6 linked regions of the Oryctolagus cuniculus genome follow. Each later gene encodes a partner of the first gene's protein in a complex. Links are inferred from orthologs where the notes say so. Each region holds a gene or a part of one and is shown in the gene's direction. Other genes may lie near its edges. The genes, in order: GNAI3, RGS10, RGS8, GRM4, TRPC5 and CASR.

Region 1 (3,979 bases):
CGTTATGGTCACTGAGGCTGTTGAAAGTGACTCTAATCCTTTGATCAAACCTTCCTAATTAATGAATCATCATTATATAGACCTGTCCATTGGGACCTTATATTGTAATGTTTAGACTCTACTGGGGAAATAATTTTAATCATAGGGTAAGGATATAAGGGCTGCAAAAGAGCTCTTCCTAGAATATATGGAGAGAGTAATTGGCACTGTTTGTCAGTTTAATTAATTTAGGACCACCTTCATGTATTATCAGTGAAAGAGCGTCATCAGCTAGGGGCTTTTACAGGGGATTTATTAATGTCCAGGTGACAGTATAACTGAGAGGCAAATTTTACTACACTACCCTTTTTGGTGTGGGGCAACAGGAAATTTAAGGAGACTCCCAGTATGCACTGGTTTGTTTCACAGTGAGGGGCTGAGGTTGACTTACATTAAATCCTATGCCCAAGAGTGGCGTGTATTGGAGAGAAGGGCAGCGTGGACATTTTATGGAGGAATTACAAGCTTACTTGTTAGGTTACAGAGCTTCTAGTCACAGAGTAACTAGTGATTTCAAGTGACGCTTTGCCGACATAGGAGCTGGGCAAATCTTAAGGCAACTGACATTCATAATTAATAGCACAAGGTCTAGGACACACTTTGAGAGCACAAGGCATGGGCCAACGAGGGCCAAAGAGGGATCGCTTAAGTCCAAGGCATGGTGAGGCCTGGCCGGGACCAAGACTGGGCACTTTGTTCCCATCCCAACCGCTGGAACAATCCTGACACTGCCTCGGTGTCTTCAACCCGGGGGCGGGGAGCGCTGGGTCTCCAACAGCCAGAAATCGATGACATTTTCTGGCCAGCGAGAAAATCTCATTAGAAGTTACCGTGGGGCTGTGGGGGCTCTCATTTGAGAATTTCCTCCCTTCCTCACCTCCCCCAAGCATCCGCTGTGTGACTCTCTGGGAGGGCCCTCTGAGCTGGAGGCCTCGGTCTTTCTCCATTCATCCAAACCAGGTAGCTGAGAAGGTAAAGAGAGATTAAAGTTGGGAGGCACGCCGTGAGTTTGACAGAACCCCGCAGCCCCGCAGCCCCGCCGCCCAGCCCAGCCACACCTCTCGAGGACTTCCGCTTTCGGTCTCACCTCCTCTCCCAGAGAGCTCCAAGCAGTAACGGCCGCAGGGCGTCACCGGAAATGTCGTAAACGCCGGATATCCGGTTCCTCGGGGCGCTAGGGGCGCTGACGGAGAGGGCCGCCGCCCAGCAGTAGACGCTGCCTCAGCCGGCCGAGCCGCAGTTACTGCGGTGTGTGACTGAGCCCGGGCCCAGCCGCCTGTCCCGCCGCCGCCATGGGCTGCACGTTGAGCGCCGAAGACAAGGCGGCGGTGGAGCGGAGCAAGATGATCGACCGCAACTTGCGGGAGGACGGAGAGAAAGCGGCCAAAGAAGTGAAGCTGCTGCTCCTCGGTGAGGGGCTGGGGGCGGGGCTGGAGCGGTGGCCGGGGGAGCCCAGGTCCTGGCCAGGCCGGCCGCACGGACCCCAAAGGGATTTGTAGGGTTTGTCCGGCGGGCGGCGGGGTCCTGGGGCTCAGGCCCCGGAGGGTGAGATGAAGGGGTGGGGTTTTGGGGTTGTGGAAATTAGGCTGGGAGGGTGTGACTCCGGGCTGGAATTAGGTTTAGCAAAGAGTTTGGGAGTGCAGGGCGGTTGGACGGTGAGACTTCATTAGGAATATGGGAGACGCTCATAAAAGAACTGATGTTAGAGAAGGTTTTACGTTGAGTTTGAGCTTGTTAGTAACCAGGAGGAGAGGTTAAGGTGCTTGCTGGATTTGTATAATGATTAGTGAATTTGGAGCGCGGTGACACTTTATAAAATGAAAGCACTTGAATGTTAAAAACTAAGAATAAATTTTTTTTTAGAAAAGACAAAGCGGTGAGACACGAGCGATTACTTTGAACAGAGATCACTCGCACGAAGTGATTACATAGGGAAAGAGCATGTTAGTAAGGCGGGGGAACCCTTGCGCAGGAACGTGCAGGTAAAGGGCTGAGATACGTGACAGATTCGCAGGTATCAAGGAAAAGAGCTTGGATGCAGGGCTTGTCTGTGCTTTCCCACCCTTTTCGTTTTGTAACTCCTTCCCCAGGTTTTATTAGAAGAAGCGGGAGTGGTGTGAGCTGAGGGTACTGAAAGAATGGCTTGTTACGGCTTGTGGCAGATCCGTGGACGACAGATTGCACATTGGAAGTTGTTTGAATGTTTGTTAGGGATACCGTGCTGTGGGGATAAAGTTATTTTAGGGTAAGTTAGGGATTGAGCATGTTTACTGTGAAGACTGTTAGATTTCTGGTGAGCTCTCTATCTTGTTTGTTCTCTTCCAGGAAAAAATACTGGCCTCAGGAATCACTGTTTATAGTTTCTCGTATCCGTTTTAACCCATTACATCCTGAGTTTTCAATTTTGTGAATGTTTCTATGACATAATGTTTATTTCAAAGTTAACATAAGTGGTATATTTATTGCTTGACTTTAGTTTTTTATAGATGCCTCTATATAGGACCATGATACATATGGGTTAAGTGGCTTTTGTGTATTGTCTGATGCATCTTAGCGCAATTTAGTTTTGAAATTTTTGAAACTCAGTAAATCATATAAAATGTCCTTGTGCTAACTTACAATAAACCAAGCCAGATTTCTTCATTATTAGTCTTTACTGTAGATCAGTTAGAGAAGAATAAATAGGCGTGATGATTTCTGTAAGTAATAGAACTTGAGACTTATTCTGTATTTCAGGATGTGCTTGGTACCCTGACAGTGTCTTTTAGTGTTAACATACTGGCTTGGTTGTAGATTGCAGAAACCCTGGTAACAGCTTTGTTGGATATAGGGGAAAAGTTATACATTGGAACCTGAGCTTTCAGTGTGAATAGCTGAACTTCTGGAAGGCTCTAGACGGCCACTGTCTGTATCACAGGTATCTTCTGTGCACAGGCATGGTCCCTGGTACCTGGTCGGCACTTCTTAAATATTTACTGTTAACAAGCATAAGCCAGCTAATGTTGGACATTTGTCCTTGGGGCCTTTCAGAAGTTTCATGGGAAACACAATATTCAAGGTATTAGCATTTTCTATACCGATTGATTGGTTATGAAATTAAGGGTATTTTTTTTCCTCAGGACATTAGCCCATTGTAATACAGTTATAAACTGTGAGACTTTATTCCAAATGGCAGGATTTGGCAGGCAGAACTTTGGCAAGCAGAACTTGTCCAAATGTCTAGAAAAATCTTTATTCAGAACTTTATAGATAGTGCAATTGAAAAGCAGTAAATAAAAAAGTACTAACATTTTCTTTTAATTTTTACTTTGTTTTTTCAATTTTTAAAAAAATTTATTTATTTGACAGGCACAGAGACAGAGAGTCCTTTCCTTTCTTGGTTTATTCCCCAAATACCTGCAACAGCTCCGGCTGGGCCAGGCCAAAGCTAGGAGCTGGGTCTCTGCTGTGGGTGGTAGGAACCCAAGTACTTGGGCTTTTGTCTGCTGCCTCTCATGTGCATTAACAAGAAGATGGATCTAGATCTGAATTGCAAGTGGGCCTCGATTCCAGGCACTCTAATAAGGGAAGCAGGCATCCCAAGTGGCAGCTTCGCCCACTGTTCTGCAATGCTTGCCTTCAGAAAGATTTTGAATGCAGCAAGTCAAATCAACAAATTCAGATAGGTTGCAGAGATATATTCTCTTGCTTGAGACATATACACAGCTATGTAATTGTCTTCATGTTGTTTCTCTAAGGAAAATATACCCAGTACTGTATACAGATTTTGTTTTTGCTGTAGAATATATCTCCTTTTCTGTATATATAAGTCATTTTTATTTCATTACTATGAAATTATCAAATAATATAAGTTGAGGCCTGAGTACTTATCCTTGTCTCTCCTGGCTCAGAATATGTTCTCTTCCTTAAAAGGATATAGTGTAGCATAAATATTGACGGC
Region 2 (3,500 bases), on another chromosome or scaffold:
GTGCGCTGACCAGTGCGGGAAGGTGTGTTGCATAAGTCTTCATCACCCCGGCCTCAGTTTTCCTATCTGTAAATTGGAGGAACTCTTTGAACCTGCCACGTGCTAGGTCATCACGCAACTTACTGTATGTGAGCCGTGATGGTGATGGTGGCATTGTATCCTGTGATGGGGTCTACGCTCTGTTTTACAGACATCCACGACAGTGATGGTGGCTCCAGCAGCGGCCACCAGAGCCTCAGGAGCACAGCCAAGTGGGCGGCCTCCTTGGAGAATCTGCTGGAAGACCCAGAAGGCGTCAAAAGATTTAGGGTTTGCCTTTTTTCTTGTTAATCAGGGAGGGTGTGTCATGTGCAGAGGTGGGGGAAACAGGACAGTCCTTAACTCTGTCTGTCCCAATGTGACAGTAAGAATGGCTCCGGTGTTGTGATGGCTGGTAGCACCCGTGTGGACAGCCCTGGACTGGCATTGAGGGCGTGTGCAGTCTGCTCCTGTGTAGGTGGGAGTGGGCTGGGGTAGGGAGAAGGTCCCCTGCCCATTGCTGCCGGCTGTAGGAGGAGTTGCAGCTCTGTGACACCTCGGGGGTGGGGGGTGGGTTGTCTGAGTTTCTCTGCTGGGACCGTTTGCACCTGGGGGAGTCTCGGGGTGCATCATTGGCAGAGTGAGAGAAGCTGGCAGCGTCGACTTGGCGAAGGGACCCCAGAGGGAGGACCGGTGGTTGGGGAAGTGTTGATGTCACGGAGAAGTCACTTCCTTGGCCACTGGAACCCCCAGGTGACCACATGTGAATTTCAAGGGTCGGTTCCAGCAACTTCTGTCTTTAGGTCTTGAGTCAGACAGGAGGAGCCCTGTGTGGTCAGGCTCTCGGGCGGGAAGTGGCAGCCGAGCCAGGGCCCCAGTTCCTGGTGACACCAGGCTGTGAGCCTCGTCTGGACCTCAGGGAGGTCTCTGCACTGTCGAGCAGCTGGCCGTGCCACCAGCCCTCCGATTTCGGCCAAAAGGAAACACACCTCCGACTTAAAATAGTTTTCTTCCTGGCCTTTCTCGACAGGCCTCCTGTTTTCCTTTCCTTTTGTTTAAAAAAAATGGGCTTGATTTTAGAGGAATGCACTTTGTTTAAACACTGTCTGGAAGGAACTAACGCATCTCCACTTTACTTTACTTTTCGGTAATTTATTGTCAGCTAAGCAGTGTGAGTAGATCCCTGCCTCATTTTTATTCTTCTTTACTACGTCAAAGCCATTGAGGCCAAATGCATATGAAATCCTGGCTTGAACATTAATCCTACTCCTTGTTTTTCAGGGTGGAGTTTTCAAGGGCTGATTGGACCATGCTCAGCTATTGAATTTTGCCAAGTCAGTGCTTGTCAGGAAATGCATTATTTTTTTTTTTTTTCGTAAAGAGAAGATTAAATGAATGGTTTTTGTTTTTATCCATAGGAATTTTTAAAAAAGGAGTTCAGCGAGGAAAATGTTTTGTTTTGGCTGGCATGTGAAGACTTTAAGAAAATGCAGGATAAGAAGCAGGTAACCCTTCCGTTCCTAATGACTCCTGGTCACTTCCCCCGCTCTTCATGGAGTCACAGCTGCCGTTGCAGGAGACTTGGAAATTGTCTAATGGAACTCGGTTCACATTAGACGTGAGGGGAAGGTTTCTGCTTCAGATCGGGTCTCCTGTGTTGATCAAATATTAATAATTCAAAAAGGAGTGATTTAGTCCATTTTGAAATGGAGCTGTTCAAAGGGACCGATATTTAAAGTAAAAATCACCATTGGTGTCGTTTGGAGATCATCAGTGTGCACGGCTGTGTCTTCATGAATACGTTATGAGGAGGTCGCCCCCAGGGCCTGGCCCGTCTGCATTTCTGGATGCTGTGTGGCGATTGGAGCCCTGCATGCACCTGGGGGATTTTTCCATGTGTCCGTGCGCCTGTCCAGAGCCTCCCGCACAGGAAGCTGCTGACCGTTCTCCCGGGTGGCCGTGTGCTCATTTCAGGGTGCCCTCTTGTCGCTCCCCTCCGCTGGGTTTTGCCACTGAAGGTTGGGCATGAAAAAGGTGCATCAGATCACGAGGAAGAAGGCTGTGCACTGGGTGGGTCTCTGTGCAGGGCAGAGCACTGGTCAGCTCCGGGGGAGCAGCAGGTGGTGAGGACAGGGAGCACTGCTTCCTCTCTGCAGGTGGTGAGGACACGTTCCGAGAGGGGCTCCCTCTGGGTTGCATTTTGGTTGCCCTAAAAGCCCTCCCTGTATGACCCTTGGGCTTTGCTTTCTTCTGCCTTCTTCCCCCAGGGCGATTCTGGCTGGGGCCTCCTGGGTAGCGAAGCCCTCTGGGGGAAATGAAAGCAGGCAGGAGGGCCTCTGGGAAAGTGAGGACTCCTGGTTCCCCTTTTTCTCAGCACCTAGGACAGGGCTGCCGACAACCATAGGTGCACGCTGGACCTGCACCTGCTGAGGCCAGGCTCACCCTAAGATTGTAGCTCAGAGTCGAGAGGTGAGCGCATGTGCATTTGTCTGCCTTATTCTTCGAGCGTGAGGGTGGGAAGGCCCAGGTGGCCCGGGGCCTCCCCTGCTGTGTAGATAAGGAAGTCGGTGTTGCCCTGCACCATGCAGAACTGGGGCTTGCGCCAGCACTCCGAGGTCACCCAGGCATCCCCTGTACACTTGCTGCCAGCCCTTGGCACTCCAGGCATCATGGAGCCCAGGAATGAGTTGGAGGAGCATCTTCCGGGGGAGGCTTCGCAGGTGCCACAAGCCTAGAGGTGGAAAGAATGGGGCTGTGGATCACCGGGGAGGCCCCTGGAGGAGTGACTTTTTCTTTTTTTTAAAGATTTATTTATTTATTTGATAGGTAGAGTTACAGAGAGGCAGAGGCAGAGAGAGGGAGGTCTTCCATCTCCAATTGGCCACAATGGCCGGAGCTGTGCCGATCGGAAGCCAGGAGCCAGAAGCTTCCCTCGGGTCTCCCACACAGGTGCAGGGGCCCAAGTGCTTGGATCATCTACTGCTTTCCCAGGCCGTAGCAGTAGTTGGATCGGAAGTGGAGCAGCTGGGACTTGAACCGATGCCCATATGGGATACTGGCAAAGCAGGTGGCAGCTTTACCCGCTACACCACAGCGCCAGCCTGAGGAGTCTTTCAAGTGCGACCTAAAGTGTGGTGGGGGTGGAGTGGGGAATTCTTCCTGGGGGGGAGGGGACAGCACTTAGGGGAGCAGGCCTGGGAGGAAGAGCTGAGGGGAGAGAGTGGGGACCCCTGGGGCCTGGGAAAGCTCCTTTGGGACTGTAATGGTGTGGGGGGAGGGTAAGACTGTAATGGTGTGGGGGGAGGGTAAGACTGTAATGGTGTATGTCTGGGGGACTGTAATGGTGTATGTGGGGGGAGGGTAAGACTGTAATGGTGTGGGGGGAGGGTAAAGCCTTCAGTTCTGCCACCTTCTGGCTTTCTGGCCAGCCAGGCAGATGCTGGATTGCACTTCCCGCCGTCCACATCGTGCAGCACGTCTGT
Region 3 (3,500 bases), on another chromosome or scaffold:
TCCCCCACCTGTGACCTCAGCTCCAGGAGTGGCCGTGGCCGAAGGTCAGGAGTCAGCAAAGCTCATGTGTCGAGGGCCAGGGATTCGATGTTCTCATCCCGGTGGTTCAGAAGTCTGTGGCTGAAGGTGTAGACCTTGGCTGCTGCTGTGTGCCAATAAAGCTTTATTTATACAAACGGCACCCGCAGGGAGCAGAATGCCAGGCCCTGGCCGAGCGAGGCACACGGGGCTGACAGTGGCAGTGGGGAAGAGACGGCAATACCGTCATCGCGCGGGTGTTCGGGAACTAGAGAACCTGAGAGAGAAATGAACAGGAGCTGTGGGCACTGGGCTTGCCTGGGGGCCTGGCTGTCCGTGCATCTGCCCGGCTGTAGGACGAGCGGGGACCTGGCAGGATGTGGCTGCCTGGGAGTCCTGATCTCTGCAGAGGCTCTGCAGGGCCAGGCCCCCTGCCCCCTACCCCGCTGGGTCTGGGGGCCACAGGCCGCGGTGCGTGAAGTCCAGCCTCCTGCACAGAATCCTAATTTAGAAACTCCCGGGCTGCCCGGCGCTGTTCCCGTAGTCAGCTGGGTGGGAGGCCGGCTTCTCCAGGGGCCCCCTCTGTGAGGCTGTGGGCCGGGGCTGCGTGGGGGGCGGCAGCTGTGCCCACCGCAGCCCCTGACCTTCTGCCCACGCTGTCTGCAGGAGCAAAGGGATGCGCACGCGCCTGGGGTGCCTGTCGCACAAGTCGGACTCCTGCAGCGACTTCACGGCCATCCTTCCCGACAAACCCAGTCGCGCTCTCAAGTGAGTGGCGTCCCCCGCTCCACTGCCTGGCCGGCCCTGCCCACGGCAGCCCCCTGCACCCTGGGTGGGAGTGGAGGGGAGTTTGTCTTCCTCTTGGTGCATCGCTGACTGATCCCAGCTCGGGTCCCCTCTGCGCCCCAGACGGCCGGGCTGTGGGTGGGAGGGACACTCCTTGCCTCTGCTTGTCAATCTGAGCTCTCGATTTGGAAGTAAACTCTAAAAATATGCCTGGATCCAGGTAACCCAGGAGCAGCTCTCCCTGTGCACGCGCTGCCTCGCGTGACCCCCTGCAGAGACGCGAGGTGATGGGCGGGAGCCAGGACGGGTTTCTCTGCACTGCCCCTGACCGTGTCCGGCCCGGCCGTGTCCTCTCCTCCCCCAGTGCCTGGCTGGCTCGCGCCCCGCTGCCCCCTGCTCTCCGGAGCAGACCGCGGAGATGGGGGAGGGAACCATGGCAGGCCCGCTCACGGCTGTTTCTTCTGCCCAGGAGACTGTCCACGGAAGAGGCGGCGAGGTGGGCGGACTCGTTCGACGTGCTCCTGGCACACAAGTGTAAGTGACCTTCCCCGCCGGCCTTGGTCCCTGCGGCGCGAGGCGGAGACAACAGGGTGGAAGCCAGGCGCTGGCCTCCTTCCCCTCTCCTGGGCTCTGGGAGGTCCCCGGAGCCTCGTGGTCGCAGCCATGCCAGAGAGCCAAGCTCAGAGTGCGGGTCCGGGCTGGGGGCCTGCGGCTCCAGCTGCGTATTACCTGTGAAACTGTGAGGCCCGTTGCCCCCTGTGGCTCTGGCCTTGATGGGGTCTCCGGCCGGGCTGTCGTCCTGGGAGTTCCTGCGCACAGCTGTGCCCCTCCCCCAGCCCCTGCTGCCCTCTGGTCCCCCTTGAGGCAGAGGTCGTGCGTGTGCAGTGTGGGGAGGCGCCCTCAGCTCTGGCCTCTCTCTCCTCGTGGGCGAGCCCACATTCCTGGGGCTCTGACACCCCAGGGCGTTACACACAGTGGAGGGGGCACAGAGCAGGGCAAGGAGGAACCAGGGAGCCTCGGCCGCCTGCAGCCGCCCCCAAGCCGGGCGTCCCGGCTGCCAGAGCTGGGCCTGCTGAACTGCGCAGTACAGTCTGCAACACGCAGGCTGAGGGCGTGGGTCGGAGTCTGACCTGCTCCGGATTTTATTTTTTTAAATATTTTGTTATTTATCTGAAAGGCGGAGTGATAAAGGGGGGGAGAGAGAGAGAGAGAGAGAGAGAGAGAGACATTCCCCCAATGGCCGCAACGGCCAAGGCTGTGCCAGGATGAAGCCAGGAGCCAGGAGCTCCCACGGGGGCTCCCGCGTGGGGCCAGGGCCGGAGCCCCTGGCCACCCCCTGCTGCTCTCCGAGGTGCCTCAGCTGGGAGCTGGAGCAAAAGCAGAGACAAACCCGCGCTCCAACACGGGATGCTGGCGTGGCAGGAGGTGACTTAACCCGCCACACCACAGTGCCAGCCCCGTGCTCTTGATTTTTAAAAAAAGATTTATTTGTTTATTTTAAGGTAGAGTTATAGAAAGGCAGAGGCGGGGGGTGGGGGGTCTTCCATCAGCTGGTTCACTCCCCAGGTGGTTGCAACGGCCAGAGCTGGGCCGACCCAAAGCCAGGAGCCAGGAGCTTCCTCTGGGTCTCCCACGTGGGTGCAGGGGCCCAAGGACTTGGGTCACCTTCATCTAATTCCCAGGGCATAGCAGAGAGCTGGATTGGAAGTGGAGCAGCCGGGACTCGAACCGGCGCCCATATGGGATGTCTGCACTGCAGGTCTGCCACAGCGCCGGCCCTGGCCCCGTGCTCTTGATCTTAACCTTGCAGGGTCAACATGCAGTTGAGGGGCCTTGGCAGAGGCCCTTGGTCTCCGCAGGTGTCTTTAGAAGTCGTTGGCTCTCAGCTTCGCCCAGCGTCCCCTCCGATTCTGCCCCTTCCCAGTAAGTGATGGACAAATGCTTGCAGGTAGATTTCACAGTGAGACGTGGGGGCCAGGCCGGGGCACACGGCAGCGGTGGCCTCCATGGCTCACCCCGCGGCAGGAGGGCAGCCACGTGGACACCGCACACGGTGTGCATGGCGCAGGCCAAGCAGAGAGCTGTGCCAGGCGTTTGCCACGGTGGCGGCAAGTGTGGGACTCGGGACCTGCCTCGTGCAGCTGCGCCGTGCCTTGGGCTGAACGAGCGTCGTCAAGTCCTCGCCTCCTTCCCTGGCTGGGTTCGACTCGGGGTCATTTGGTTTCTCTTCCGGCCGGCGCCTGACTCACCTAGTCAAGTCCCTGGGGCCGCTGGCCCCCGAGTGAGCACCCGGAGCCCTCCATGGGGCGGCTTCTGAGGGTCTGCGTGTGCTTAGGGACAGGTGCTTTTCTCTACCCAGTGCCAGGCGAGTGCCCCTGGAGCCCGGTAGGAACTGCCGGTGCTGGCTGTGCCGTGTGGCCATGTGGCCGTGGTGGCCCGGCTCCACCTGGAGGAGTTGTGGCGCAGGTAGTGGCAGGGTCTGGAGGTCTGAGGGCAACTCTCAGATCCGAGCTCGCCTGGTCCCGCTCTGCCCCGCTGTGGGATTCCGGAAGCTTCTCTGAGGCAGGGTCTGTGAGGGTCAGGGGACACCAGGTGCTCTGAGCCCCTGCATCCCGCCGCAGGTCCCGCCGCCCTTCCCAGGCCCGCGCCGTGGGGGTGGGGGAGCCAACACTGGTGAGAGGAAGGGGCCCCTTCCC
Region 4 (3,500 bases), on another chromosome or scaffold:
GAGCCCCCGGCCAGTTGGCGGCCGTTCTGCAGGAGTGGGTGCCCGGCACCTGGCACTGGTCTGGTGAACTCTTGCTGCATTTGGAACGGATGCTGGGAAGGTGGCTCCTGGGCGTAGTCTGCTCCCGTAGCCCGGGGCCTGCAGCTCCTCTGGGCCTCTTGCTTGCTTGCTTTCCAGAGTACCTTGTAACGGATTCAGGAGGGCGTGACAGTCCTCCTATGGCCCCTTTGCTCACAGCCGTTGAGTCTTAAGAGCTGTGAGTAGCGCTGATTTAGAGCAAGATGGAAAGAAATGCCAGCCCCTGGGCACACGTTAATATCCGCTGATTAAACTGGAGTTCATCCCCTCCACTGAACGCCGCTCCCTGTGCTCCGTGGTGGAGCCATATGTAGGGCAGTGAAGCCGGCACAGATCACCCTGGGGAGGGGGTCTCGGTGTCGCACGGGCTGGGGTGAGGCCAGAAACTGCATTTCCTGGCAGCTGCTGGGCTTTGTGGCTGCTGGTGAGTTGCCAGGCCCTGGGGGCTGGGAGTGGGGACTGCAGGCCGTCACCGCTGCTATTTTCTGGGCCGAGTTCCTCCATGAGTGTGGAGAGCTCTGGATTCAGCCAGGAGTCCTCCCAGGTCGGCAGTGTTCCGGCCACGCGGTGGTAGGTGGGGGTGGTGGTGGTGGCTGAAATCCAGCCGTCGGGTTCGGGAAGCCCTGGTGGGGTCGGACTTTTAACAGGCACCCACCTGGCTGACTCAGGTGTGGGGCGCAGGGGCATTGCGCGGGAGAGGGCGAAGGGTCCAGGCCCTGGGCGCCCCGTCCTGAGGCCTGCTCCGCGGTGCTGTCGTTGCCAGATAGAGCGGATGCACTGGCCGGGGAGCGGGCAGCAGCTGCCCCGCTCCATCTGCAGCCTGCCCTGCCAGCCGGGCGAGCGGAAGAAGACGGTGAAGGGCATGCCGTGCTGCTGGCACTGCGAGCCCTGCACGGGCTACCAGTACCAGGTGGACCGCTACACCTGTAAGACGTGCCCCTACGACATGCGGCCCACCGAGAACCGCACGGGCTGCCGGCCCATCCCCATCATCAAACTTGAGTGGGACTCGCCCTGGGCCGTGCTGCCCCTCTTCCTGGCCGTGGTGGGCATCGCCGCCACGCTGTTCGTGGTGGTCACCTTCGTGCGCTACAACGACACGCCCATCGTCAAGGCCTCGGGCCGCGAGCTGAGCTACGTGCTGCTGGCGGGCATCTTCCTGTGCTACGCCACCACCTTCCTCATGATCGCCGAGCCGGACCTGGGGACCTGCTCGCTGCGCCGCATCTTCCTGGGGCTGGGCATGAGCATCAGCTACGCAGCCCTGCTCACCAAGACCAACCGCATCTACCGCATCTTCGAGCAGGGCAAGCGGTCGGTGAGCGCCCCGCGCTTCATCAGCCCCGCCTCGCAGCTGGCCATCACCTTCAGCCTCATCTCCCTGCAGCTGCTGGGCATCTGCGTGTGGTTCGTGGTGGACCCCTCGCATTCGGTGGTGGACTTCCAGGACCAGCGGACGCTCGACCCCCGCTTCGCCCGGGGCGTGCTCAAGTGCGACATCTCCGACCTGTCGCTCATCTGCCTGCTGGGCTACAGCATGCTGCTCATGGTCACGTGCACCGTGTACGCCATCAAGACGCGGGGTGTGCCCGAGACCTTCAACGAGGCCAAGCCCATCGGCTTCACCATGTACACCACCTGCATCGTCTGGCTCGCCTTCATCCCCATCTTCTTCGGCACCTCGCAGTCGGCCGACAAGGTGAGTGTGCTGACCTGGAGCCTGGCCGTGCCAGCCGAGGGGCCTTCCGTTCTCGCCTGCCTCTGGATCCTAGCGGCCTGGCCCCTGAGCGCCCCGTGGACCCTGCCCACACCCAGAGCTGGCACTGCAGGCGGGGTGACCTGCAGTCGGAGGCCTCCTGGGGGCCCTGAGACCCCTATGCCTGGTCCCAGGTCTGTCCGTGTCTTGGCTCTGGCCAAGCCGCTGGCCTCCCCCTGCCTCAGCTCCTCTTTCTGTCGCTTGGGACCCAGGCCCTGGCTGCGGGGTGAGCCCTGAGGAGAGCATGGGTGGATCAGGGCTATGGCCAGGTGGTCCTGGGGCTCCTGGGCACGGGGTGCAGCTGAAGCGGGGAGGAGGGGGCAGGGCAGGCGCCCCGCACATGTCCCAGTGCAGCTGTCTGGGGAGCTGTAACTGGGGGCCCATCAGGAGCAGGGAGAGCTCCCCGGGGGTGTGTGGCCTGCAGGGAGCCGCAAATGGGGGCCTGTTGGATGCTGGACGCAGTAGCTACCATCCCCACTTCCACAGGAGAGAGCAGTGACTTGCCCAAGGTCACACGGCCAGTAGGTGGCACAGCTGGACTTGTCCCTGCTGCACCGAAGGAGCCACCACCTGCAGCCCACACTGGCCCTCCCTGGTGCCCCCACCTCTGTTCCAGCAGCTCATGCTGGGTGGCTGCCGTGTCCTCTGCTCTGCGCCCCACATCTCGTGGGCCCAGCCCAGGGAGGTCTGTGGGGCGTCTTCCGGGGGTGTCCCTGAGGGCCAGGGTGCTCCAAGAAGCAGACCTTGGGGCTGGCAGGGACTGGCCTGGGGTCTGAGGCGTGGCCTGGCCATGCTCCTGAGCCCGGCAGCCGGTGCACCCAGCCCCTTGCTGAGCGCGGGTCTCTTGGGCGTGGAGTCGGCAGGGGAGTCCTCCACGCCCAGGAAGCTTGAAAACCTCGAGGGCCTCCCAGTCTGAGGGCGGGTAAGCCCCTGCCCTCTGGCTGCGGGCACCCTGCGCCCGGTGGAGACCCTGTCATCCCAGGGCATCAGCCCTGCTCAGCCCATGCCCTGTCCAGGCAGCGCCCCGTCCCGCCCCGCCCTGTCCGTCTCCACCTCCGCTGCACAGTTCTGAGCTGAGCCACTGAGATGGCCTTCAGGGGTGCTCCATGGGGCAGGGCTGCGGCCACACAGCGCCTGCACCAGCTCTGCCCGGGGCCCTGTGGGACGTGGGATGCATCCCTTCTCCCCTCTAGGCCTCCTAATGGGGTGGGGGTGGAGGAGACGAACTCGGAAGCCCCCATGGGTTCCAGCCACCAGGACTCTTAGAGGCGCTGGCAGCCAGGGGGCCGGCAGTGCCGGAGCCACGTGGAATCTCCCGGGCGCCCAGGGCAGGCTGCAGGCCCGGCTGCTGTGGGGGTGGGAGGGGGGCTGGTGCCACCCTCAGGAGTGCTGCTGGGTGCCCAGAAGCTTGTGTGTGGGTTTTTGGGTATAAGGGTGCTTAAGAGATGCTCATAGGCTAAGAGAATTGAAAGTATGAGTTTATTTTGATCACTTCTCGGCCTTTTGGCTAAGATCAAGTGTAAATGTTCTTGAAGTCTATGGCTTTTTCATAATAGTTTCCCCACATATTATGGAAAAATTGTCTAAAGAAACATTTATCTATTACTTAAAGGCAGGGCAACAGAATTTGGGGGAGGGGAGAGAGAGAGAACTTCCAAGTGCTAGT
Region 5 (3,500 bases), on another chromosome or scaffold:
GTTAGAATGAGGCATTCCAAATCTTTAAACTTCTGTCTTCCATAGGATCATGCTGATATTGAGTGGAAATTTGCAAGGACAAAGCTCTGGATGAGTTACTTTGATGAAGGTGGTACCTTGCCACCTCCTTTCAACATCATCCCCAGCCCCAAGTCATTTCTATACCTTGGCAACTGGTTCAACAACACTTTCTGCCCCAAAAGAGACCCTGATGGTAGACGGAGAAGGCACAACTTGAGAAGTTTCACAGTAAGCCTTTTTCAAATTGTTTCCCTTTAGACAAATTTGTTTCTTCCCTTCCTTCCTTTATGACATTCCGTATCTTAAATGTCAAAATCACTCCAGTCTACACATGCTTTGGGGGTTTGTCAAGAAGGAGCTCCTGTGTTATTCTCTAATCTTAATGTTTAGAAATATATCCGGATGGGTGGGTAGGGCGGGGCTGATTGCTTATGTAACCTGTCTTCCCATTTTCAATTCCAGGAACGCCATGCTGACAGTCTGATACAAAATCAGCATTATCAGGTAAAGCTTCCTAACTGGAACTAAAGACAATGGTTTTTGGCCAGTTTGGTGAAGTAGAAACAAATTCCATGCTGGCTTTCTGGATATGTTCCATTTGACTGGAGTAGGAGGCTTGGAGAGACTGTTATTTCATCAAAGGCTGAAGTATCACTTTACAGTGGATTCACCTGGTTTATCATCCTGTTCATTGTCTTTGAACAATGTCTCAGTGTATTCAACAGCATCCATGACTTAGAAAGTTTTTTTAAAATTTTGAGAGGTAGAGGAACAGAAAGAGACACTGGGAGAGATTGCATCCATTGGTTCACACCCCAAATGCCTGCAAAGCCAGGGCTGGGCCAAAGTCAGGAGCCAGGAACACAAGTTGGGTCTCCCACTTGAGTGGCAGGAACCCACAACTGCCTCCCAAGGTCTGCACTGGAAGAAATTGTAATCAGGAACCAGAGCCAGGAATCAAACCCAGGTACTCCAATATCAGATGTGGGTGTCTTAACTATAAGGCCAAAACCCTACTCCAAACCTATATTTTTGAGATTAAGTAAAATAGAATGTTATTGGTCACTCAGTTAACAAATACTTTAATACCTACTGTTTATCAGACGTTAAGCTGGGTACAACAGAAATCACTGTGAACAAGACCCAGTCTTTCTGTTATTCTTTTATTATTTAGCAGGAATAAGAAGATATTTAACAAATCATTATAGCTATTAAAATTAGGTGATACAAGGGTAAAATCTACTATGAAGAAAAAGTGCAGCCGGCGCCACAGCTCACTAGGCTAATCCTCCGCCTGCGGCGCCGGCACCCCAGGTTCTAGTCCCGGTCGGGGTGCCGGATTCTGTCCCGGTTGCCCCTCTTCCAGGCCAGCTCTCTGCTATGGCCCGGGAAGGCAATGGAGGATGGCCCAAGTGCTTGGGCCCTGCACCCGCATGGGAGACCAGGAGAAGCACCTGGCTCCTGGCTTCAGATCAGCGCAGCGCGCTGGCTGTAGCGACCATTTAGAGGGTGAACCAATGGAAAAGGAAGGCCTTTCTCTCTGTCTCTGTCAAAAAAAAAAGTGCATAGAGTAATGATACTATACAATGCATCAGGAATACATAACAAAAGGAAAGTAACATCAATGAATTAAAAGCTTATCTGAATGTTAGGAACACAACTCTTCTTAAATTACAACATGACTTTAATTACAGAATTAAATAAGCATTTCAGCATGCTAAAAATGTAATAAACCAAGGGAACATTTGGGTACTCTCCCCACCAGACAGAAAACAACCAAGCACCCAAATACCAGAAACATCTTTTGAGAATGATCCTTGCAAATCCCAAGTAAGAGACAATCATCTCTCACCTTTCTGATTAAAAGAAGCCCAAAGTAGAAAAAAGCAGGCTTGAAGTAAATTCATCCTTATTCTACAGGTCACTTCTCCTAACTCTCTCTTAGGACATAATTAAGAGAAACAGAAAATACAGTATTTGGTAAGAACTCTTCTCTTACTATTCCTGCCTCTAACCACTATTATTTTCATAATGAGTCTTAAGAAAAATTCACTGTCTTCATTTCCTGCTTCAAAGTCCTTATAAAAATTGTTTCAAGGACATCTCAGTTACTTTTTTTAAAAGATTTATTTGTGTATTTATTTGAAAGGCAGACACACACACACACACACAGAGAGAGAGAGAGAGAGAGAGAGAGGATCTTCAATCCTCTGGTTCATTCCCCAAATGCCCCCAACATCCAGATCTGGGCCAGGCCAAGCTGGGAGCCAGGAGCTCTATCCTAGTCTCCCACATGAGTGGCAGGGTGACAAGTACTTGAACCATCTTCCACTGCTCTCCCAGGTGCATTAGCAGGGAACTAGGTCAGAAGCAGAGCATCTGGGACTTGAACTGGTGCTCTGACATGGGATGCCAGTTTTGTACACACTGGCTTAACCAACTGCACCACAACATCTGCCTCTCAGTGACTTCTTTAAGATCAGAGTAACAGATATAATATATACAGCATTAGCTATTGTTACTATAGGCCTTGAAATCAGATTGAAATGAAAGTGGATTCCAGTTTTTGCATTTACTAATAGTGTGACTTTGGACACACCTGTTAACCTCACTGAGTCTCAGAATCCTCATCTGTTAAAGGGGAATTATGATAAAACTTCTTACAGGGTCTTGGAAATTGAGTGATGAGTGTGTGTGTGCGTGTGTGTGGTGTGGGGCATTGCCCAGCACAGTGCCTAACCTAGTGCAGTAAGTGACAGCTATCAACATCATCATCATCACTAATACAAATCATAGAGACCATATGTGTGTTATTGCCCTGAGGTCAAATCAAGAGACAATTCCTGTAAAGAAGTATAGGTTGATTCTGAAAAAAAAAAAATACCCTGAGTATATTATTAGTGCATATTGAAATTAGCACTTAGAGACTCTGAACTTTATAAAAGGAGGAAAAACTCATTTTCCTAGGAGTGTTACAGTTTAATCCAGCCTGAAAGGAACAGATAATATGATCATTCAAGCATTATTTCATTGTTATTATTCTATAAGTGTGAATGCATATTTCCTTTATACTTAGGTAGAAATTTTGCACTTAGTGTGAATTGGCTTTTACTGGCTCACTCTACTCCCACATTCAGAGACATAATAATTTGTTTAGTCAATGGACTTAATCCATTTTGGGGGCAGAAAAAGGCTGGATCCTGTAAGGATTTTGTTGCAAAGATGATCTAAGCATGTTTTATTTCCTGTGTTCATTGCTCATTTCACTAAGAGCCTAAGAAGGAAACTGAATGCTTCTTCCTGTTTTTTTTTTTTTTTAATTCCAGGAAGTTATCAGGAATTTAGTTAAAAGATATGTGGCTGCAATGATAAGAAATTCCAAAACAAATGAAGGACTAACAGAAGAAAATTTCAAGGTAATTTAATCACTAAGTGGTCTCTCATTTTTTATTTCTTAAGCATCATTTAATCTTCAAAGT
Region 6 (3,500 bases), on another chromosome or scaffold:
CAAATAGTCTGTTGTACCCTGCCAGACAGAACTATGCATGTATCATGAAAATACAGATATAAGACTAAGCAAGAAACCTTCCCCAAAATAATATATATTTTTAAATTACATTAAAGAAACGGAGTAACATAAGTTTAGCAGTATAGGTATTTTATATAAAGAGAAATTTTATAATGTACCTGAATAACTTTGTAAGTTTACAGTGGATAATTAAACAAATATAGATGAAGGAGGCATAGGAAAAAATATGAAAGCAAAATGTCATGTTAAAAGTTAGATCAGGAGGCAAGCATCTGACCCAGCGGTTAAGATGCTCACGTCCCAGATTGGAGTGCCCAGGTTCAGTACTCAGCTCCAGCCCCTAACTCCAGCTTCCTGCTCATGCAGACCCCAAGAGGCAGCAGGTAATGGTTCAACTAATTGGGTTTCTGCCACCAAGTGGGAGACCTCTGAGTTGCATTCAGCAGACAGGAATTCTCTCGCTTGCTCGCTGTACCTATCAAATAAATGAATATTATTTGAACGTTACACCAGCAACCTTGGGAGCCTGAGTGACAGTGAAGTATAACTGATCATATTTCCCACCTCTTATTGCTGTGCTCCGATAGGCAGCTCCCCTTAGGAAGGGAGAACCTGCCAGATTGTTCTATCTTTCCCACTGGACCTGAGTCAGTTCACTGAGTCAGCACGTGCAGAGGCCTCACTCTAAACCAAGTGCTGGAAGAGTGAAACTTAACTGCACTGACCCTGTCTGTCTTTATCCATTTGCTTGATTTTTATTAAAATAGCATTCTTCTTTAAAAAGCAATGCATATACATTTTTAAGACTTTATAGTAGATCCTGCTTCCCATGTTGGATAGTTCTCTCCCTTTTTGATTCTATCAGTTAGTATTAGCAGACACTAGTCTTGTTTGTGTGATCCCTTTGACTCTTAGAAATATCAGTGTGATCAATTGTGAACTGAAGTTGATCACTTGGACTAGTGAGATGACGGGATACACAACAGACTCATAGAATGGCAGATGTCCTAAATAGCACTCTGGCCTCAGAATCAGCCCTTAAGGCATTTGAATCTGACTGAAGAGCCCATGACAGTATTTTAGGCATGGAAAGCCAAGACTCTCTGGGAAAAAAAAAAAAAGAAGAAGACCTAAATGAAAGATCTCTGCGAGTGAGATCCCAGTGGAAAGAATGGGGCCATCAAAGAAGGAGGTACCTTTCTCTGAAGGGAGGAGAGAACTTCCACTTTGGTTATGACCCTGTCGGAATAAGATCGAAGTCGGCGAACCCAAAAGGCTTCCATAGCCTTGGCAACTCATGACTACAGCCTAGGAAGATTACTGACGCCATAAACAAGAGTGTCAAATTGTTAAGTCAACAACAGGAGTCACTGTGTACTTACTTCTCATGTGGGATTTGTCCTTAAAGTGTTGTCCAATGTGAAGTAATGCTATAACTAGTACTGAAACAGTATTTTTACACTTTGTGTTTCTGTGTGGGTGCAAACTGATGAAATCTTTACTTAATATATACTGAATCTATCTTCTGTATATAAAGATAATTGAAAATAAATCTTGATGTGAATGGAATGGGAGAGGGAACGGGAGATGGGAGGGGTGCGAGTGGGAGGGAAATTATGGGGGGGGAGCCAATGTAATCCATAAACTGTACTTTGGAAATTTATATTTACTAAATAAAAAAAAAAGAAGAAAAAGAAACAGAGACAAGACTTGAACATAGACACCCCAATATGGGATGTAGGCATCCCAAGAGGTGGCTTAACTTGCTTCCCCACAGTGCCACACCATCAGTAAATATTGTTCTTATGAAGAAATGATTAAGCATTTCCTGATCCTTTTTGCATATATATTTAGACAGGGGGAATCTAACTAAGTCTTAGAGTCAAAATTCTAAAGACCAAGAATGAATAAGAAGAAAAAGAATTTTATTTTTCACTTGTGAGCATTCCATTTGTCCCACATCAACCATTAGTGCCAATGACTAATTATCCAGTGTTCAACATCTGAATTAAAATTCATGAAAGAAAACCTTAAAATGAGGGTAACTTAGTACACTTATTTAGCTTTTCTGGAATTTAACAAGCATTACTATTGGTGACAGCACATTGGGAATTCAGAGAAAATTACAGAATATTATTCTGATATATTAAACCCAAAAAATGCTGTGTAGCCCACAAATTTAACTTTTACTTCATTAATAAAGACTGCAAGCTGTCTACCACGATTTTTCCCACATCTTGATATTCATATTTTATCACTGAAAAAAGAAAAGCCCAACAGCTGCTTCCAGAACAAAAAGAATGTTTAAGGTCCAGGATCTTTCAAAAAGTTTTCTAACTCAGTATCTTCATTTTAAATGTGAAGAAATGGAGACAACATGAGTAAGTGACTTTCCTTTGTAACCTGGGTATGTCAGTGGCAAAACTATCATTACAATCAGTTTTAGAATCCCATGTCTAACTACAGAAAAGATGCTTCAAAAATTCTGAGAAAATGAAGTTAAAAGACAAAGTTACTTCAAAAAATCTGAAGTTCATGTGTAGTTTTTTTATGAGATGTATTTTCTATGGATATTTTGAAGACCATATGTTTGTCACAAAAGATGAATAATAAAGAAAAAGTAAACTACATTCCTTTAAAAAAAAAAGACTTTATAGTATAAATAAGCCAAAAGCACACAATTCCTTTCCTACCTCCCTACACTGTTTGTTGCTTGTTTACAAACCAAGATCATTCTTTTCCCTTTCTTCTTTGACCAGCAAGGATATCATCACCTAAATTTGTGACACCACAAATCTGAGGCTATATTTAGGCTCCCTCCTGCTAATATCCTAATCTATTCATATTTTCCCGAGTCCTTTTTCTCTTTAAATCTATATATTACATTTACAAAAGTACTCCACATCAACTACTGCAAACCCTTTGCTGGAGGCAGCAGATAGAAATAATTCAATGAATTACTAATAACAATCTTTTGTTATTCCTGTCCCCCAACTCTGTGTGAGGCACACACTGAGAATTTTACATCACTGCCACCTGTCCATACCTTCACAGCCACCCTATGAACAAGTAGGTGTTAACCCCATGTTCCAGACAGGACTTTGAGTCCCAAAAAGTGAACCTCAAAGCCAACGGGTAACAGAGCCATGATTCAGACCCAGCTTTGCCCAGTCCTTCAAGTAGTTAGTTAACCAGAAAGTCTCCATTCACTTCCCACTTCTTTCTTCCAGGTATAACTTTCGTGGTTTTCGCTGGTTACAGGCGATGATATTTGCCATAGAGGAGATCAACAGCAGCCCAGCCCTTCTCCCCAACATGACGCTGGGATACAGGATTTTCGACACTTGCAACACCGTGTCTAAAGCCTTGGAGGCCACCCTGAGTTTTGTTGCCCAGAACAAAATCGACTCTTTGAACCTTGATGAGTTCTGCAACTGCTCTGAGCACATCCCCTCCACTATCGCTGTGGTGGGAGCCAC

What was found.
Region 2: the proteins of GNAI3 (region 1) and RGS10 are in contact, whole or in part, in a crystal structure (PDB 2IHB), measured with the Homo sapiens proteins. The link is inferred for Oryctolagus cuniculus from reciprocal best matches to the Homo sapiens genes GNAI3 and RGS10. Residues at the interface, in NP_006487.1 of Homo sapiens: Val71, Val72, Ser75, Glu115, Val179, Lys180, Thr181, Thr182, Gly183, Ile184, Val185, Gln204, Ser206, Glu207, Lys209, Lys210, His213, Ala235, Glu236; in NP_001005339.1 of Homo sapiens: Glu62, Phe63, Ser64, Glu66, Asn67, Ala102, Ser103, Ser104, Gln105, Val106, Asn107, Val108, Glu109, Gly110, Leu137, Lys139, Tyr140, Asp141, Ser142, Arg145.
Region 3: the proteins of GNAI3 (region 1) and RGS8 are in contact, whole or in part, in a crystal structure (PDB 2ODE), measured with the Homo sapiens proteins. The link is inferred for Oryctolagus cuniculus from reciprocal best matches to the Homo sapiens genes GNAI3 and RGS8. Residues at the interface, in NP_006487.1 of Homo sapiens: Glu65, Gln68, Ser75, Val179, Lys180, Thr181, Thr182, Gly183, Ile184, Val185, Gln204, Ser206, Glu207, Lys209, Lys210, His213, Ala235, Glu236, Asp237, Glu238; in NP_001095920.1 of Homo sapiens: Thr76, Glu77, Phe78, Ser79, Glu81, Asn82, Ala117, Pro118, Glu120, Val121, Asn122, Ile123, Asp124, Phe125, Gln126, Arg128, Leu153, Lys156, Asp157, Ser158, Arg161, Arg164.
Region 4: the proteins of GNAI3 (region 1) and GRM4 are in contact, whole or in part, in a cryo-EM structure (PDB 8JD6), measured with the Homo sapiens proteins. The link is inferred for Oryctolagus cuniculus from reciprocal best matches to the Homo sapiens genes GNAI3 and GRM4. Residues at the interface, in NP_006487.1 of Homo sapiens: Ala31, Lys32, Val34, Lys192, Asp193, Leu194, Thr219, Phe336, Thr340, Ile343, Ile344, Asn347, Leu348, Cys351, Gly352, Leu353, Tyr354; in NP_000832.1 of Homo sapiens: Pro616, Lys619, Ala620, Gly622, Arg623, Glu624, Arg676, Ile677, Ile680, Phe681, Gln683, Gly684, Lys685, Arg686, Ser687, Val688, Ser689, Ala690, Ile694, Ser695, Pro696, Phe781.
Region 5: the proteins of GNAI3 (region 1) and TRPC5 are in contact, whole or in part, in a cryo-EM structure (PDB 8GVX), measured with the Homo sapiens proteins. The link is inferred for Oryctolagus cuniculus from reciprocal best matches to the Homo sapiens genes GNAI3 and TRPC5. Residues at the interface, in NP_006487.1 of Homo sapiens: Arg205, Arg208, Lys209, Trp211, Ile212, His213, Phe215, Glu216, Glu245, Leu249, Ser252, Asn256, Lys257, Trp258, Arg312; in NP_036603.1 of Homo sapiens: Thr27, Glu32, Glu33, Glu56, Ile57, Tyr58, Tyr59, Asn60, Lys125, Pro128, Thr129, Leu130, Met131.
Region 6: the proteins of GNAI3 (region 1) and CASR are in contact, whole or in part, in a cryo-EM structure (PDB 8SZH), measured with the Homo sapiens proteins. The link is inferred for Oryctolagus cuniculus from reciprocal best matches to the Homo sapiens genes GNAI3 and CASR. Residues at the interface, in NP_006487.1 of Homo sapiens: Ala31, Lys32, Gln304, Glu308, Lys314, Asp315, Thr316, Lys317, Glu318, Ile319, Tyr320, Thr321, Phe334, Asp337, Ala338, Thr340, Asp341, Ile343, Ile344, Lys345, Asn347, Leu348, Glu350, Cys351, Gly352, Leu353, Tyr354; in NP_000379.3 of Homo sapiens: Lys644, Ala645, Asn647, Arg701, Val702, Val705, Phe706, Ala708, Lys709, Pro711, Thr712, Arg716, Trp719, Phe801, Ile869, Val872, Arg873, Thr876, Ala877, Ala880, Phe881, Lys882, Val883, Ala884, Ala885, Arg886.

What each region holds. Positions count from the first base shown.
Region 1 is NC_091438.1:60,864,366-60,868,344, reverse strand, and holds the start of GNAI3 (guanine nucleotide-binding protein G(i) subunit alpha-3), read left to right. Parts: upstream 1-1,179; 5' UTR 1,180-1,331; coding exon 1,332-1,449; intron 1,450-3,979. UniProt on the Homo sapiens protein: Heterotrimeric guanine nucleotide-binding proteins (G proteins) function as transducers downstream of G protein-coupled receptors (GPCRs) in numerous signaling cascades.
Region 2 is NC_091446.1:11,178,376-11,181,875, forward strand, and holds part of RGS10 (regulator of G-protein signaling 10), read left to right. Parts: intron 1-190; coding exon 191-309; intron 310-1,436; coding exon 1,437-1,523; intron 1,524-3,500. UniProt on the Homo sapiens protein: Regulates G protein-coupled receptor signaling cascades, including signaling downstream of the muscarinic acetylcholine receptor CHRM2.
Region 3 is NC_091444.1:944,441-947,940, reverse strand, and holds part of RGS8 (regulator of G-protein signaling 8), read left to right. Parts: intron 1-684; coding exon 685-786; intron 787-1,273; coding exon 1,274-1,338; intron 1,339-3,500. UniProt on the Homo sapiens protein: Regulates G protein-coupled receptor signaling cascades, including signaling via muscarinic acetylcholine receptor CHRM2 and dopamine receptor DRD2.
Region 4 is NC_091436.1:135,251,091-135,254,590, forward strand, and holds part of GRM4 (metabotropic glutamate receptor 4), read left to right. Parts: intron 1-841; coding exon 842-1,777; intron 1,778-3,500.
Region 5 is NC_091453.1:81,680,926-81,684,425, forward strand, and holds part of TRPC5 (short transient receptor potential channel 5), read left to right. Parts: intron 1-45; coding exon 46-249; intron 250-483; coding exon 484-525; intron 526-3,347; coding exon 3,348-3,437; intron 3,438-3,500. UniProt on the Homo sapiens protein: Forms a receptor-activated non-selective calcium permeant cation channel. Mediates calcium-dependent phosphatidylserine externalization and apoptosis in neurons via its association with PLSCR1.
Region 6 is NC_091435.1:78,452,992-78,456,491, forward strand, and holds part of CASR (extracellular calcium-sensing receptor), read left to right. Parts: intron 1-3,251; coding exon 3,252-3,500. UniProt on the Homo sapiens protein: G-protein-coupled receptor that senses changes in the extracellular concentration of calcium ions and plays a key role in maintaining calcium homeostasis.